Linked DNA regions of Canis lupus familiaris. The protein of the gene in region 1 purifies or fractionates together with the protein of each later gene. This does not show direct contact. Links are inferred from orthologs where the notes say so. Each region holds a gene or a part of one and is shown in the gene's direction. Other genes may lie near its edges. The genes, in order: SPDYC, CDK2 and CDK1.

Region 1 (3,896 bases):
GGTTGGTGGTCCTTCCAAGTATGCCGCTTGGGTGTGGGGTGAGGGGGTATTTGGGAGTTGGGGGGCAAGAGGAGCAATTAAACTCTGGCTCTTGGAGGTCAGGCAGGCCCAACCTTTAAGTGGCCGTGAGACTGACACGCTTCAGCTTCGGGGTTTGCAAAATGAGTATTGGCCTATACCCACCTACCCGGATGAAGTGAGATAATGCCCTCAAAGAATTGAGCACAGCTCCAGGCACTTAGGAAGCCCTCAGTGGTGGCTGTTGCTGCTATGCTTACTCTCCAGCTTGGCCTGGGGCCCCAGGATGGGGTGGGGGGAGCTGCAGCCTCCAGGAATTCTGCTGCTTCTCTGGTCTCCTCACCCCACACGTATGCCCATTTCTAGTCTGCTCCGAGCACTGCACTCCCACCCTCCCAAGTCTCCATGCTCATCTCACCACTTCCTGGAGGTCTTTTGTCAGGCCAGCCTCAAAAACCCCCTTGATTTGTGGGGAGCGAGGGGGTAGGTGCTAATCCTGAGGCTACTTTCTCTACAGGCCATCCTGCCCCACCCCACCCGTCCCCATCCCCTAGGAGATGAGTGACGCTCAAGACTTTGCCACTTTCCCAGTGGTTGCCACCCAGGTGAAGCTGGGGGGCTGGAGCCATCAACGTGGGGGTAGTGGGTCTGTTCATCCACGCCGGCACCAGGAGCTCCAGGCTTTTCTCAACCTTCTGGGTGAGTTCACTCAGGGACTGGCGTGGAAGCATCTGTGAGGACCAAGTGTGAAACTGAAGTGAAGGTGGGGGGGACATTCACCCGCCATGCAAGTATCAGCAATCTCTGCCCCTTCCCTTCTCAGGTGACCCCAGTTTGGCAAGGGGAGGGGAGGGGTCCTGTCAGAATGTGGGTTCAGTGGAGGTTTGAGCTTTGGAACTCTGATGCCACTCTTGTCTCGTGGGGGCTGGTGGTAACCCCAGTCCACCATTCCTCTTCTCTACTCCAGAGCACAGTTTCCTCCAGGAATTCCTTTCCAGAGATCCCTGTTTCCAGATTTCGGATAAGGTGAGGTGACACTGGGAACAGAGGCTGGGAGTCACCTGGGGCGGTCTGAATTAGTGGAGCTTGAATGCTGCTATTTCACTGGGCCTCCTGGTCTGGTACTGGGAGCATTTCTTTTTCTTTTTCTTTTTCTTTTTTTTTTTTAAGATTTTATATATTTATTCATGAGAGTCACTGAGAGAGGCAGAGACATAGGCAGAGGGAGAAGCAGGCTTCCTATGGGGAGCCTGATGCAGGACTTAATCCCAGGACCCTGGGATCACGACCTGAGCCAAAGGCAGATGCTCAAACACTGAGCCACCCAGGAGTCCTGAGCATCTCTCTTTTAAGTCTGTTTTTACCTGACCACTTCCCCTGGGTTTTCTGACCCACACCGCGGCTTCCTTGGGTGTAAATGGGCCTGGCACAGTCCCCTCTCCTGCAGGCCTCACTGTAACCTCTCCCCCTTTCTGTGTCTGCAGTATCTCCTGGCCATGGTGCTGGTCTACTTTCGGCGTGCCAACCTGAAGCTCAGCGAGTACACCCATAGCAACTTGTTCTTGGCCCTGTGAGTGGCCCTGGGTGGTGGGGACATTCATAAGGAGTTGTAGGATGGGGCAGTGCAGGTGCTTATGGCCTCTGCTCTCTGCCTGCTGTCTCCATGACTAGGTTTCTTGCAAACGACATGGAGGAGGATCTTGAGGACCCTAAATGTGTGATTTTCCTGTGGGCCCTGGGAAAAGATTGGCGTTGTCGGGTAGCAGACTTCCTACATCAAAGGGATAAGCTGTGGGCCCGGATGGGCTTCCGGGCCATGGTGAGCCGCCAGTGCTGTGAGGAGGTGAGGCCCCACCATCAACCCGGGTTGGGGAAACAAGGTTGGACTTCCCACCCCCACTTACTGTGTACTCTACTCATGCCAGGTCATGGCCAAGGAGCCGTCCCACTGGGCCTGGACTCGAGAGCGGCGTCCCCACCACGGTGGGGCTCAGAGGGGCTGCACAAAACCCCGAGTTGCCCTCCCCGGGGGCCCCGGCCTCTCACCACCTGCCTGTTCCCTCTGTAGTTTGCCCTCTTCCCCCAGCCACTGCAGCCACCAGCCCCACCCCTTGCCTGTCTTGTTCAAGTGTCCTTCCCCAAACCCTGAGCGACACTGCCCTGACCCGCAAGCTTGTCTTTCGGTGGCTGGAGACCCCTTGGGGGGGGGCTTCCTCATCATCCTGCCCCCCCAACTGCAACTAGAGCCAGGCACCTACACTCTCTATAGTGAGTTGGGGACAGCAGCTGGGGGTGGGCTTAGGAGCCTGGGAGGTGGGTGTGGGGCTTGACAGAATGGGAAGGAGGGGCATAGGGCCTGGGGTCCAGCAGGCCTGGGCACCTGTCCCACCTTTGCCAACTCCTACTTGTTTGCTTTTGCTAAGTGTCCTCTCTGAGCCTCTCTTTGTCCTTTCTCTCTAGTCCTCCCGAAGCCTCCACCATGCCCTGGGCACTGACATGTGCAGAGTGAAGAGCAGCCCACCTCCTTGCCTGCTGACCTAAGCCCCACTGGCTGTGGCCCCCTGGCCTTCTGTCTTATTGGCTTCAGGCTGGCAGTGCTGCCCAGGTCCCCTGTCACCTCCTCCCAACTGTATGCACTCTGACCCTGGCCCCTCTAATAAACTCGTGTCTATAGGACACCAACTGTGCTTAGGCCCTGGCCTGGCTCCTTGACCCAGGGTCGGGGTAGGGACGAAATTGGAGAGGGAATCCTTTTTTTTTTTTTTTTTTTTAATTTTTATTTATTTATGATAGTCACAGAGAGAGAGAGAGAGAGAGGCAGAGACACAGGCAGAGGGAGAAGCAGGCTCCATGCACCGGGAGCCCGACGTGGGATTCGATCCCGGGTCTCCAGGATCGCGCCCTGGGCCAAAGGCAGGTGCCAAACCATTGTGCCACCCAGGGATCCCTGGAGAGGGAATCCTGCCGGGTTTAGGTACCAGTGATTGAGACTCGTGAGCACGGGCTCTGTAATAACAATTCCTCTTTCCATTGATGACCCCTTTCCATTGATGACCAGTCATCCTGAACTGCTATTTCACTGGGCCTCTATATGTTTCCCCTCTATAATGTCACCCATAAATGATGAAATCTACACAGTGTGGATGAAGTTGAATGAGAAAAAGTATATGCAGCCCTTACAAGAGGCCCTGGAACCTCTAGGACAAAAAAAGCTTAAATGGTGAAGCCCCCTAGAGTTAGCCTAGACATACCTGCAAGGGCCAGGTCTGCTTAGGAATAAGACCTGGTCCCTTCGCTGGGCTGCAATAAAATATAATGCAATTATTATAATACTTGTCCCCTGTCCCCAAGAGGAAATTTGTCAATGAGGGAGCAGAGAAGGCTTTCCAGAGGAGGTGGCATTAGAGCTGGGCCTTGACCAATGTCAAGTTTGCCCATGGAGGGGCAGAAGTCATGAGGTAGGCTATTCTAGAAGATTATTCCAGAGGAATAGATTAGACTTGGTCTCTGATGCCAGACAGCTTCTATCTAACTTCTAGGTTTCTATGTGACCTTGTCATATTACTTAATCGCCATAGCGTCATCCACAAAATGGATATTATACTTAAATTGGGTGTTGTGAGATTCGAATGCATTAATCCTAGAAGTGTTTACAACAGTCTCGGGCAGCCTGGGTGAGTCAGGGGTTTAGCGCTGCCTTCAGCCCAGGGCATGATCCTAGAGACCCGGGATCAAGTCCCACATCAGGCTCCCTGCATGGAGCCTGCTTCTCCCTCTGCCTATGTCTTTGCCTCTCTCTCTCTCATGAATAAATAAATAGAATCTTGAAAAAAGAAAAGAACAATCTCAAGAACAGAGCTCAGATGTGAGGCCTGCGT
Region 2 (5,349 bases), on another chromosome or scaffold:
TGATGGATCTACTTACACCTCACCCAGATGCAACAACTATCATTTTGCCACATTTGCTTTATCTATCCTCTTTTGTTTGTTGGCTAAAGTATTTAAAAGCAAATTCCAGATATTTTGTTATTTTAACCCTACAATCTCAATACGTATCTGTAAAAAAATATGAACATTTTCTTGAATAAGCACAATGTCACTTCCCCCTAGACAAAATGATCAAACCCAATTCGTATAAAGTTTCATCTAAAAATGTCTTCTTATGACTTAAAAAAATCATTATCCAAAAAGTAAGCACCATCTTTTAAGAGGCTCAGGTGCACAAGAATGAAAAGAATATTTCCAGAATACATTAAGGAAATAGTAAAAGGCTTGAAACTGGAGCACAAATGAGGGAAGTCAGATCAGGAAAATTTCCTAGAAGTCTGTGAGACCAGGGATCTAGAGAGAGAAAGGGGAGACTAGGATATGATATCTATATTTTAGCACAGGAGAAACTCCTTTTCAATGTGTAGTGGAGACCTAGCTGAGTCTGCTGAGGGCGGGGGGGTGGGGGGTAGATCTAGAATAATCTCACTGAGCATCCCACCGCTAAAGCAAGAGAATCATAAGATACCCCATTCTTCACTCCCAACCCTCCCTCCTCAGAGCAGCACGGGACATTCCAGACCCTCTCACCACCCCCACCCCCACCCCTTGCTCCCGTCACGAGGCCCCAATCCCCCAGAGCCCTTTCATGTGATGCTCAGCTGAGACCCCTCTGCCTGTCTCTTCCAGCCCCAGGACAAAAGCCTGAGCTATATTTACCCATCCCCATTCCAAAGAGGGGAGGTGATACCTCCTTACCTTTTCTATCCACATCAATACCACATTCTCTTACTCCTTTCTTTTAAATACCCTATCCCAAGTGCCTGAGTCATTCCCTAAGTCTTCCACTTATTTCCCTTTCAAAGCCCCTGCTCCAGCTCATTGCCCCGGGGGTGGGGTGGGGGTGTCTCAGAATTAGAGCCCCAAAGACCTACTATCCTTTTGCCCTTCCAAGCAGATGGGATTATTTTCAGGCTCAGTCCCAAATTTCCACCTAGAGAGGGACTTCAGATGCCCATGTCCTCGCTAAATCAAATGGGTGGAAGAAGCCTGAAATATTGCTGGTATCTCCCATGAGGAGGGAGAAAAATCAGAGCAGGTGTGCAACCCCAAACTCCCACTTGTTCATGTCCATACTCCCCACACTAACCTTCTGTGGCCCCCACAGCCAGAAGAACACCCATCACAGCCACATGGAGAAGGCATTTTCTCGGCACCAGATTCATCTTGTTCTTTCTTCCAGCAACCAAAGGCGCTGGGGGTGCTGGGACAAGCCCCTATATAGGAGAGGGGTGCTCATTTGCATAGCCCATCCTCCTTTCCCTCCTGGAGAGGCTTGGGAGGGGCAGGAGGGCCAGAGAAATAACTGAAAAGGGATCCTGGTCCCTGGACATCCCGCTACTCAATGACAGTTTCTGGTTTCACTGGGTCACGACCTTCTTGACCGGGGAAACATGGACTGCAGGGCAGCTAGCTACATCGTGTGTACTCGACGCCTGCAGTGCACCACAGGCTAAGGGGATCAATCTGGTTTTTGAGTCAAACCAGGAAACCTCTCAAACAGATGGAGACCCTGCATCTCCAAACAGAGAGATAGGATAGGATAGGCAGAGAGGGGCGCGAACGACGTGTCCAAGGCCCAGGACACCCATACGATGAGATTCCTAGCTTCCTGCTTTTCAAAGGCGGTTCCCTGGGCCAGGTGGAATTCAATCTTAGGGCAAGACACATTTTCTCTGGGGTTGGCGAATCAGAGGTCAGGAAATCCCTCCAGGCCCAGGACACAGGAAGGAAGCTCGACTCCAAATTGGGTACTTGGAAAAAGACGTTTATTTAGCTTCCCCAAGGTGACAAACTTGTATCGAAGACCCTCGGTAGTAACCTTGCGCGAGGTGGGGTCACTGGCGGCAGCGACGCGCTGGGCTCGCCCCCCCGCTCTGACGCTGGCCAATGGGAAGGGCCGGGGGCGGGGCCAGGGAAACGCGGGAAGGAGGGGCGGGGCCTCCACTGGCGGTAGGGAACCCGAGGGGAGGCGGCAACATTGTTTCAAGTTGGACAAATTGACAAGAGCGAGAGATACACTCCGTTCCATCCCGACCTGAGGCCGCGGAGCTGGGCCCTGTTTCCCCTCCTCCAGCCCCCGAGAGCCGGGGCCCGCCTTTTGCTGGGTTCCCAGGCCCCCGCTCCGGGGCCGGGCTGACCCGACTCTAGCGCTTGCTTCATGGAGAACTTCCAAAAAGTGGAAAAGATCGGAGAGGGCACGTACGGAGTTGTGTACAAAGCCAAAAACAAAGTGACGGGAGAAGTGGTGGCGCTTAAAAAAATCCGCCTGGACACGTGAGTGGCCTCTGTACCCGGGACTCCTCTAACTCCGGAGCTTCTTGAGTGCCCCCCGCCCCCACCCCGACAGGCGGGTAGCCGTCCGAGGACCGGAAGGTAGCAGGGTGGGACTTCTTTCGAAGTGGAGAGGTGGGCTGGAGGACAGTGAAGGGTTTCCCTGTGCAGAGTATAGGGCACTGTAGAGTCTGTGGGAAACTTTCTCCCCAAAGCCGAGTGATGCCCCCAAACGTGTAGTCCGAAAGACTCAGGAAGAGGAAGGAGGCCTCTGAGGTGGGGGTCCAAGACTCCCCGTGGAGTTGAGGTCTGTGGGAACCGGTGAAGAGCACCTTTCTGAATGAAGAGCCCTCCTCACTGCCCCAACCCCACCCTCCTCTTAGAATTCTCTACCCCTTTCAAAAGAATGGCAGTTGAACCTCACTGGCCCGTCTAGGGAGGCTGGGTGCTGCTACTCTTCTTTCCTCCCGTTACCTTCTCTCTTCTTCACCTCCACCAGAAGGCTTTACTTACCTACCCGTGGGAGAAGAAGAAATAATGACCTTAACGTATCCAAAAAGCACCCCCCTGTCCACCTGTGAATTAACTCCTACAGCCCCCTTTCTCTTCTGTCACTTTCCTAGGGTGTGCTGGGGTGGTGTCTCGTTCGGAGACTGGGCTGGGGGAAAAGCAGTATTTGTAACCACATTCCTCTCTCTGCTTTCTCAACCTCCCCAAGTGAGACGGAGGGTGTACCCAGTACTGCTATACGAGAGATCTCCCTGCTTAAGGAGCTTAACCACCCGAACATTGTCAAGTAAGTATGTGTCTGGGAGATATTTCAGCGGTAAAAGAGAATGTCTTCTGTGAGGCCGGGGCATCGCTCTTCCTCACCTCCATTCCTGGACCTCCCTCCCTAGGCTATTGGATGTCATCCACACAGAAAACAAACTCTACCTGGTTTTTGAATTTCTGCACCAGGATCTGAAGAAATTTATGGATGCTTCTGCTTTGACTGGCATTCCTCTTCCCCTCATCAAGGTAATCCTTCTCATCAACTCCTCCCCCAACATGGGCACGTTTTGGGGGGACTGAAGGCAGGCAATTCAGACTGGGTGATGATCTGTGATCTTAGCTTCCTTCCCAGCCCTCATCCCCCTACACACACACACACACACACACACACACACACACACACACACCTTTCTTTTGTGGCTCTTTCACTGCTCATTATGCTTATTAACCCCTGGGCAGGGCAGGAGAATCAAAGAAGTTGAAACTCTAGTGAGTCAACTTTGTAGCTCAGGTGGAAGGTCAGATGAAACTCAGATAAACGAGACTGGAGGGTACTTGGTACTTGGTAGATTCCTCCAAGAACCCCTTCCACTAGTTTGGTAGGAGAAATAGCCAGTGAGTCTCTGTTGTCTGTCTTAGGGCTGGGTTCTCTGCTCCCTGAGCTATTTTCAATCTATCAACAAACATTTATTCGGTGCTCATTTACTGAACACCTTCAATGTGCTAGGCACAGAATATGGAAAAGAGATGCAAAACTAAATAGGACCCAGTCCTTATCTTCACTAGACTAGCAGTCCAATGGGAGATACAGCTTATAAACATGCAATTATAATCTAATACAGTAAAAGGCTTTAGTACAGCTTTGCAGGCAGAGTGGAGCCTAATAGCTCACTGTGGTCGAGAAACAAAGTCCTCTCTCTCTCCTTCGTCAGAGCTATCTGTTCCAGCTGCTCCAGGGCCTAGCCTTCTGCCATTCTCATCGGGTTCTGCACCGAGACCTCAAACCTCAGAATCTGCTTATCAACGCAGAGGGGGCCATCAAGCTAGCAGACTTTGGATTAGCCAGAGCCTTTGGAGTCCCTGTTCGTACTTACACCCATGAGGTGAGACCCTGTCTGCACTTCTTCTCTGAACTTTCTGGGAGGTGTTAACAAGGACATTTACAAAATGACTAAACCTATCTGGCCAGCAGTTTCTCTCTCCCTAGATGAAAGTATCTCTGGCACCCCAGGAGGTTTTAGAGTATGCACTGAGTTCATATTGCGGGGCTAGCTGGGCTTCAGTAGGTACCAAGCCAGCAGAGCTGGATGGCATATCATTAAAATTATGACCACTTCTCTCAGGAGTTTTCCAGGAAGGTTGAAAGTTTTGGGTTCAGAAAATAGGGTCTTTGGAGCCACAGGCGAGGCTAACTCTGGTCTAAGAAGTTGTGTGTAATCACTTTACGCAGGGGAAGTCAGAAAGATGGGAAAAGAAAGATAGAGGGAGAGAAGCTGCTTGTGATCAGGCTGAGAACTAGCAGAGTAACACCGAGGAGCTGACATGTGGGAATCACTGTGCCCCATGCACCACCTCTCCCCTTCTTGCTCTTGTTCCCAGGTGGTGACCCTGTGGTACCGAGCACCTGAAATCCTTCTGGGCTGCAAGTACTACTCCACAGCCGTAGATATCTGGAGCTTGGGCTGCATCTTTGCTGAGATGGTATGGAGGCAAGCCCGAGTTCCACCCAGCTCTCTCCTCCCCACATTCAAAAACAACAGAACTTTTTCTTGGCCTAGACTCATGGCCCTTCTATTATCTAGGATCCTTTCTCTTAGAGTAGGACCAAAGCGGGTACGGGGGAAAGGATAGGACTATCGTCCCTGAGGTCAACTACAATGTCAGTATATCCTCAAATGGCCTTAGCATTAAATACACGTCTCTTGTCCCCAAATTGAGCTAAATCATTTCTGCAACTGTTTTAGCTTTAGTCTGCATATATTTGGGAGAATGAGTACCTACCATTCAGTGCCTCCTTCATTTGGCCTGTAGACCTTCTAGTAAGGTCCCAGGAATATGGTGAAATCAACTGTATTCATGTTATCCATTTATTTATTTATTTATTTATTTATTTATTTATTTATTTATCTATCTATCATACCTTTTATTTAAACTGCAGACTTA
Region 3 (5,579 bases), on another chromosome or scaffold:
TATCAAAAAAAAAAAAAAGAAAAAAAAAGCTTATATGCAGTGCCAACTGATCTTTTCCTTTTTTTCTAAATGGAATTCTCTGAAATATAAATATGCTACTTTTTGTAGCACATGCCTTTCCATCCTCTCTTCTTTCATTGTTTTTTCACAACTCCTGGAGAATAGTTCTAAAATAGTTCTGGGGCACTTGGGTGGCTCGGTCAGTTAAGCATGTGCCTTAGACTCAGGTCATGACCCCAGGGTGGAGGATCTCCCCCTATTGCCTGCTTCCTGCTCCACAAGAAGTCTGCCCCTTCTCCCAACTCACGCTTTCTCTATCTTCCTCTCTTTCGGTCTCAGATAAATAAATAAAATCTAAAGAAAAAAAAAATACTTCTCTTGTGCAGCCCCTTAGGACATTATTCAGGGCTCTTCAAGATTCTCATTCCAAACTCTCTTCCCTGCTTCACATCCCAGAGGCCCTGCAGCCTCCAATGGTCGCCTGCCTGTGGACTCCCTGTACCCTACAATTGGAGGCATCCTGAATTATTCAGATAGATTTTCAATGCTTACTGTTTGGAAGCCCCACTCCACAGTTCTTTCTCCAGTGTCTGTTTGAATTTGGTGATTTACCTCTCTCTGTTCTCATGTCACTTTATAGCATAAGTTACAACATAAGTACCATCATAAAATTCTAATCCTGTGTTCTCCCACCCCCAAGCCTAAGCAAGAATTGTATCTGATTAATTTTCTGTCCATAAAGTACTTTAGAGACCCTAAATTCAAGTTGGCCCAAAGAATTAATAAACTGAATTTGCTAAGATGCTAGGATGAATTTACAATAACCCCTTAAAGTTTAAAAACAAAGATAATTGAGTTAAAATGAAAAATCTAGCATCACAGCTATAGAAGCTTGTGATCTTCATGTTGAATGTAAAATGGATATAATGAATTATAAGCTGTTATTAGGTGCTATAAAATGAATGCCTTGTTGAGGCCTCCCAGAGAGAAATATCTACATGCACTCATTAAAATCAGTACCCTGAACTGACAGAGAACAGTCATCTTCCCTAGAGTACTTCTCTGGGGTAGTCAATTTTCATTTAAAATGTGAACTTGGGTGTTGAAAAGTAAGTTTTACAAGTTCTTAGGTTCAGGCAGAGATTTCACAACCACCTACCTCCAATGTGAACCCCAAGTGCTCTGTCACCTAGGAGCACAAAATTGTTAAGACCATGTGTTGGTACCACAAATGGTGCCAGATGACAGATGCTTCTCACTGTGTAAAAAAGGTACTAAACACTTACATGCATGTGATATACTAGCTCATTGTTTATCCTAATCTGGGTCTTTTTTTTTTTTTTTTTTGGTATATGGAACAGTTCAAGAATTTGTGCGTCATCTTTGCGCAGGGACCAACTTAATCTGTTTTGTTCCAATTTTAGCACATTGCTGTCCAAGCCAGCACCTAATCTGGCTCTTCTGACAGGTCTTTGTAGCGTTCATGGTAATCCATCCTTGTTCTACATTCCATTAAGAGCAGCCCTTATTAGGTGACTCTTATTGCCAGTTCTATTTTATTTTTTAAAGACTGAAAGAATGATGTTCAAGTGCAAACATCTCTCTTAAGGTTATTGTGGAGGGCAGTGAGAGAGAGAGAGAGAGAGAGAGAGTTTTTGATACTTAGTTATTTAAAGTATAATTTAGGTCTCCCCCCCCCCCAAAGACTTGTGAATTTTTGTGTTCTAAAAAACTAAAATTCTGTTGTGAAAATATTTAAAAATCTAAAAATGTAAAATTTTGTCTTTCATTTTTAAATACATGGAATTTTAAGTAAATGGAAACTTTAAAATTCTGAAAATAAAGTAAAAACAAAGCATATATGCGTGTGTGAAATGGATTCCTTTGGCCCAGCCGGAAAATCACCCACTTAGAAAAACACCATTTACGGTAGCTTTAAGTATTAGAAGTGAAAGTGATGGAATCTGAATGTCAAGGTAGCATCGCTTTTGTGATGAGAGAGCTGAGTGCAGTACGTTTTAATTGTGCCAATACTGAACAGGGAAGAACCCGACCCAGGGCCAACAGTAGATTTCCGACGACCAGAAGCAGTAGGACGACGCTCCCCAGCGATGAAAGAAAGCGCCTGCGCTGGGACTCAGTTGGCGCCCGCCCTCCTGCTTTTTCGCCAGCCGCCGTTTCCACCCTCTTTCGCGCTTCGGCCTCCCGGGAAGCCCAGCCCCGAGCGTCGCTGAGCTCCGATTGGCTCCTTTGAAAGTCTACGGGCTGCCTGATTGGCGGGCCCCCGGCCCTTTAGCGCGGTGAGTTTGAAACAGCTCGCGCTCCGCTTCAAAGCTGGCTCTGGGAAGTTGAGGCGAGAGCGACGCGGACGTGGAGGCGGCCGCTGCTTTCGCCGCGGGACAGTAAGGCGGGCGGCCTCGCTGAGGTCAGGGTCGTTCCTGCGGGGCGTCTGCGCCGCGGGGCCCGGCTCGGAGGCCGCGGCTGGTGGTGGGAGGCCGCGGGGGGCCGCGCGGGGCCGGGCCGGGCCGGGCCGGGCCTCCGGATCCTAGGCCGCGCCCTCGCTGGGGCCCCGGGGCCCGGCCCTCCGGGGAGGCTGGCGGGAGCCCCGACGCGGCGGGCGCGCTCCCGGGCGGGTGAGGCCGCCGGCCGGCTGAGGAGGCCGTCGGGGCGTGGCGCCGGCCGGACGACGCCGATTGCCGGGCTCCGGCCTGGGCCCCGCGCGCGCCGCCCTGCTCCCTGGCGTGGCCGGCCAGACCCCACCTGGGCCAGGTGCCCGCGTGGGAGCGCCGGCGGGCCCCGCTGGCCTGTGGGCCTCCCCGGGGTTCCCTGCGCCCGCGGCCCTGGCGCGCCCGGAGCTGTGGAGAGACCCGGCCAAGGACAGAACCAGAGGAGGAGGAAGCTCGGGGTGGCCCCTTGACTCTAAGCTGTTGTATGTGCTGTGCCATCGGCCCACAGGGAAGGCTCAGAAACGCCTCGAGAAAGCACATACGCGTGTGCTCAGTATTCCTGATCGGTCTTTGTTTAACACTAGAGCTCCCCATGTGCACGCCTGCTTGCTTGCTTCAAAGACCTGGAGGCCTCTGGGTAGGAGACGAAGCTGTGGTGTCGCGGTGCCGGGCCCCAGGGGCAGGGCCTCCAGAGGCTTTGTGAAGCCGCGTCCTCTCTGTGAGATTGTCACAGCAGCGACACGGAGAGCCGGCGAGGCCTAGGAAACCCAGCTTTGAAAGGCTTGCTCAGAGCGAGCTCGACAGTTGGATTGTTCGTCAGGCGTGTTAAATCTGGGCGTCGTAGAAGGGATGATTACCGTTCTGTAAAATTAAAAATGTCTAAGATGGGAACTCCTAGCCAGTGTAGTGCAACTTCGTTCATTTAAAAAGATTTTCTTGCTTCTACTTCTGGCATGATCCCGGAGACCAGTGCGAGCGTCGACTACCCAGTGACCTATGTACGTAATCTTATCAGGGATGAGTGTGTTAGAAAGTCAAGGTAATTCTACTCTGGGCTTCTGAAGTGAAGATTTCTTTGGCAAACTTCTCAGCTGAGGACGTCTTGAAGGTCTTGTCAGCCTCTCAACTGACGTTTAAGCAGTCTTGCTGATGGTGGTTGATTATTACGGCCACAGTAGCTCTATTTGTGTCATTAAAACTTTTTTCCTTTTGAATTTTCTTAGAAAAGGGGTACAAATTCAGTCAAATAACATTATTTGACTTACTTAACACAAATAACATTTGTGGAAATGGCTGGGTATAACTGGCAGAAATTGATGCTCCTTAGAAGTGTTACATAAAGAAACACACTTGTTTTTTTGTTTGGGAGGGATAGATAAGTTTGATACCTGAATTTGAGGGTTAATCTGATTGCAAGAAGCAAAGTACTACACTGGCTAAGATATACAAATCCAATGTTTTAAGAGCTAAAAAAGGTGGAAAAATCTTATTGCAAAGGTCCCTTCCCTTGTAAATGTTTTAACATAATTAGTATTTATGGGAAATTAATACTGCAGTAGACACTGGAAAATGCTTTATACTATCATTAAAAACTTAAAACCATCTTTTGAGTTAGTGGCATATGATCAAATTAATTTTTTCTCTCATTTTAGGATCCTACCGTATCTGTTGATTAACTATGGAAGATTATACCAAAATAGAGAAAATTGGAGAAGGTGAGTGGTTTTAATAATAAAAGAGTTAAAAAATGATTTGGTAATGCTCTAATATCTGGGACATGAAAACCTGTAAATATTTATTGAAATCCAATCTTTAAGGTGTCCTTCAGTGCTAATGTGCCTTGATTATATGTTCTTTACATGGTAACATATGCACAAAATGTTCAGATTTCAAGAAAATTGAAATTATTCTGATAGGATTCCCTGCCAACCCTCTCCCATCCCCCTAAAAATCTTATATTTTTTAAGTACTAAACACTTAAAGCAATATTTGTATTTTGAAAACACTATTGAGATCTTGTGTTATGTTTTGGTGGGGAGAGGTTAGGGAAGTAGAATTTTTTTTTTTTTTTTTTAAGATTTTTATTTATTTACTTGAGAGAGCACAAGCAGGGGGAGCTTCAGAGGGAGAGGGAAAAACTGGCTCCTTGCTGAATGAACAGGGAGTCCATGCGGGTCTGTATCCCAGAACTCTGGGATCAGGACCTGAGCTGAAGGCAGACGCTTAATCGACTGAGCCACCCAGATACGCCTAGGGCAGTAGAATTCTATTAAGTTTAATAGTGTACTTTTAATCATGTACAATTCTTTTTAAGTGCTTTTACCCAAACTTTCTAAACTAGTATAATAGACTATTAAACCAATTTATTTATTTATTTATTTATTTTTTAATTTTTATTTATTTATGATAGTCACACAGAGAGAGAGAGAGAGAGAGAGAGGCAGAGACATAGGCAGAGGGAGAAGCAGGCTCTATGCACCAGGAGCCCGATGTGGGATTCGATCCCTGGTCTCCAGGATCGCGCCCTGGGCCAAAGGCAGGCGCTAAACCGCTGCGCCACCCAGGGATCCCTATTAAACCAATTTAAATAAATTTTTTAATTTCCCTTGATTTAAATGACATGTCATGTATACCTGCTTAAGCAATTCTAAAACAACTTTTTTTTTTAAAGATTTTATTTATCCATTAGAGAGAGAGAGAGAGAGAAAGCAGGGGGAGGCTCAGAGGAAGAAGCAGGCTCTCCACAGAGCAGGAACTTGATATAGGGCTTGATCCCAGGACTCTGGGATTATGACTTGAGCTGAAGGCAGGCACTTAAACAACTGAGCTACCCAGGTGTCCCTAAAACCAGTAACTCTTGTATATGATCATTCCCCTCTGTAGTACTTTCATTGAAGTTTTTAAAGAATGTTTATATGGCACAAGTGGAAGGGTAAAAATCCCTTTACTTTTTTTTTTCCCCAAAAAGAATATATAAGTTTCTGTATAAGAGTTGGTATTAACGTTCTAAACTCTATAGGAACAAATGGTACACCTTTATGCAAAGCAATTTGCTATTAGAGTAATTTATGTAGGTCTGTTTGAGGGATATTTCCAATCAGTATATTTTTAGTGTGTTTCAAAACCGTATTT

The links.
Region 2: the proteins of SPDYC (region 1) and CDK2 purify together in Homo sapiens (co-immunoprecipitation; 3 studies listed by BioGRID and IntAct, with this or other methods). This does not show direct contact. The link is inferred for Canis lupus familiaris from reciprocal best matches to the Homo sapiens genes SPDYC and CDK2.
Region 3: the proteins of SPDYC (region 1) and CDK1 purify together in Homo sapiens (co-immunoprecipitation; 3 studies listed by BioGRID and IntAct, with this or other methods). This does not show direct contact. The link is inferred for Canis lupus familiaris from reciprocal best matches to the Homo sapiens genes SPDYC and CDK1.

Annotation. Positions count from the first base shown.
Region 1 is NC_049239.1:52,525,315-52,529,210, reverse strand, and holds the end of SPDYC (speedy protein C), read left to right. Parts: exon of another isoform or gene 1-535; 5' UTR 536-575; coding exon 576-717; intron 718-985; coding exon 986-1,044; intron 1,045-1,502; coding exon 1,503-1,588; intron 1,589-1,689; coding exon 1,690-1,861; intron 1,862-1,943; coding exon 1,944-2,286; intron 2,287-2,478; coding exon 2,479-2,513; coding exon of another isoform or gene 2,514-2,559; 3' UTR 2,560-2,746; downstream 2,747-3,896. UniProt on the Homo sapiens protein: Promotes progression through the cell cycle via binding and activation of CDK1 and CDK2. Involved in the spindle-assembly checkpoint. Required for recruitment of MAD2L1, BUBR1 and BUB1 to kinetochores.
Region 2 is NC_049231.1:650,458-655,806, forward strand, and holds the start of CDK2 (cyclin-dependent kinase 2), read left to right. Parts: upstream 1-2,056; 5' UTR 2,057-2,299; coding exon 2,300-2,415; intron 2,416-2,542; exon of another isoform or gene 2,543-2,688; intron 2,689-2,745; exon of another isoform or gene 2,746-2,949; coding exon of another isoform or gene 2,950-2,960; intron 2,961-3,130; coding exon 3,131-3,208; intron 3,209-3,311; coding exon 3,312-3,432; intron 3,433-4,118; coding exon 4,119-4,289; intron 4,290-4,785; coding exon 4,786-4,887; intron 4,888-5,349. Other genes in the region: melanocyte protein PMEL precursor, read right to left, coding at 1,229-1,304. UniProt on the Homo sapiens protein: Serine/threonine-protein kinase involved in the control of the cell cycle; essential for meiosis, but dispensable for mitosis. Phosphorylates CABLES1, CTNNB1, CDK2AP2, ERCC6, NBN, USP37, p53/TP53, NPM1, CDK7, RB1, BRCA2, MYC, NPAT, EZH2.
Region 3 is NC_049225.1:13,553,681-13,559,259, forward strand, and holds the start of CDK1 (cyclin-dependent kinase 1), read left to right. Parts: upstream 1-2,215; 5' UTR 2,216-2,300; exon of another isoform or gene 2,301-2,425; intron 2,426-2,802; exon of another isoform or gene 2,803-3,445; intron 3,446-4,099; 5' UTR 4,100-4,125; coding exon 4,126-4,162; intron 4,163-5,579. UniProt on the Homo sapiens protein: Plays a key role in the control of the eukaryotic cell cycle by modulating the centrosome cycle as well as mitotic onset; promotes G2-M transition via association with multiple interphase cyclins.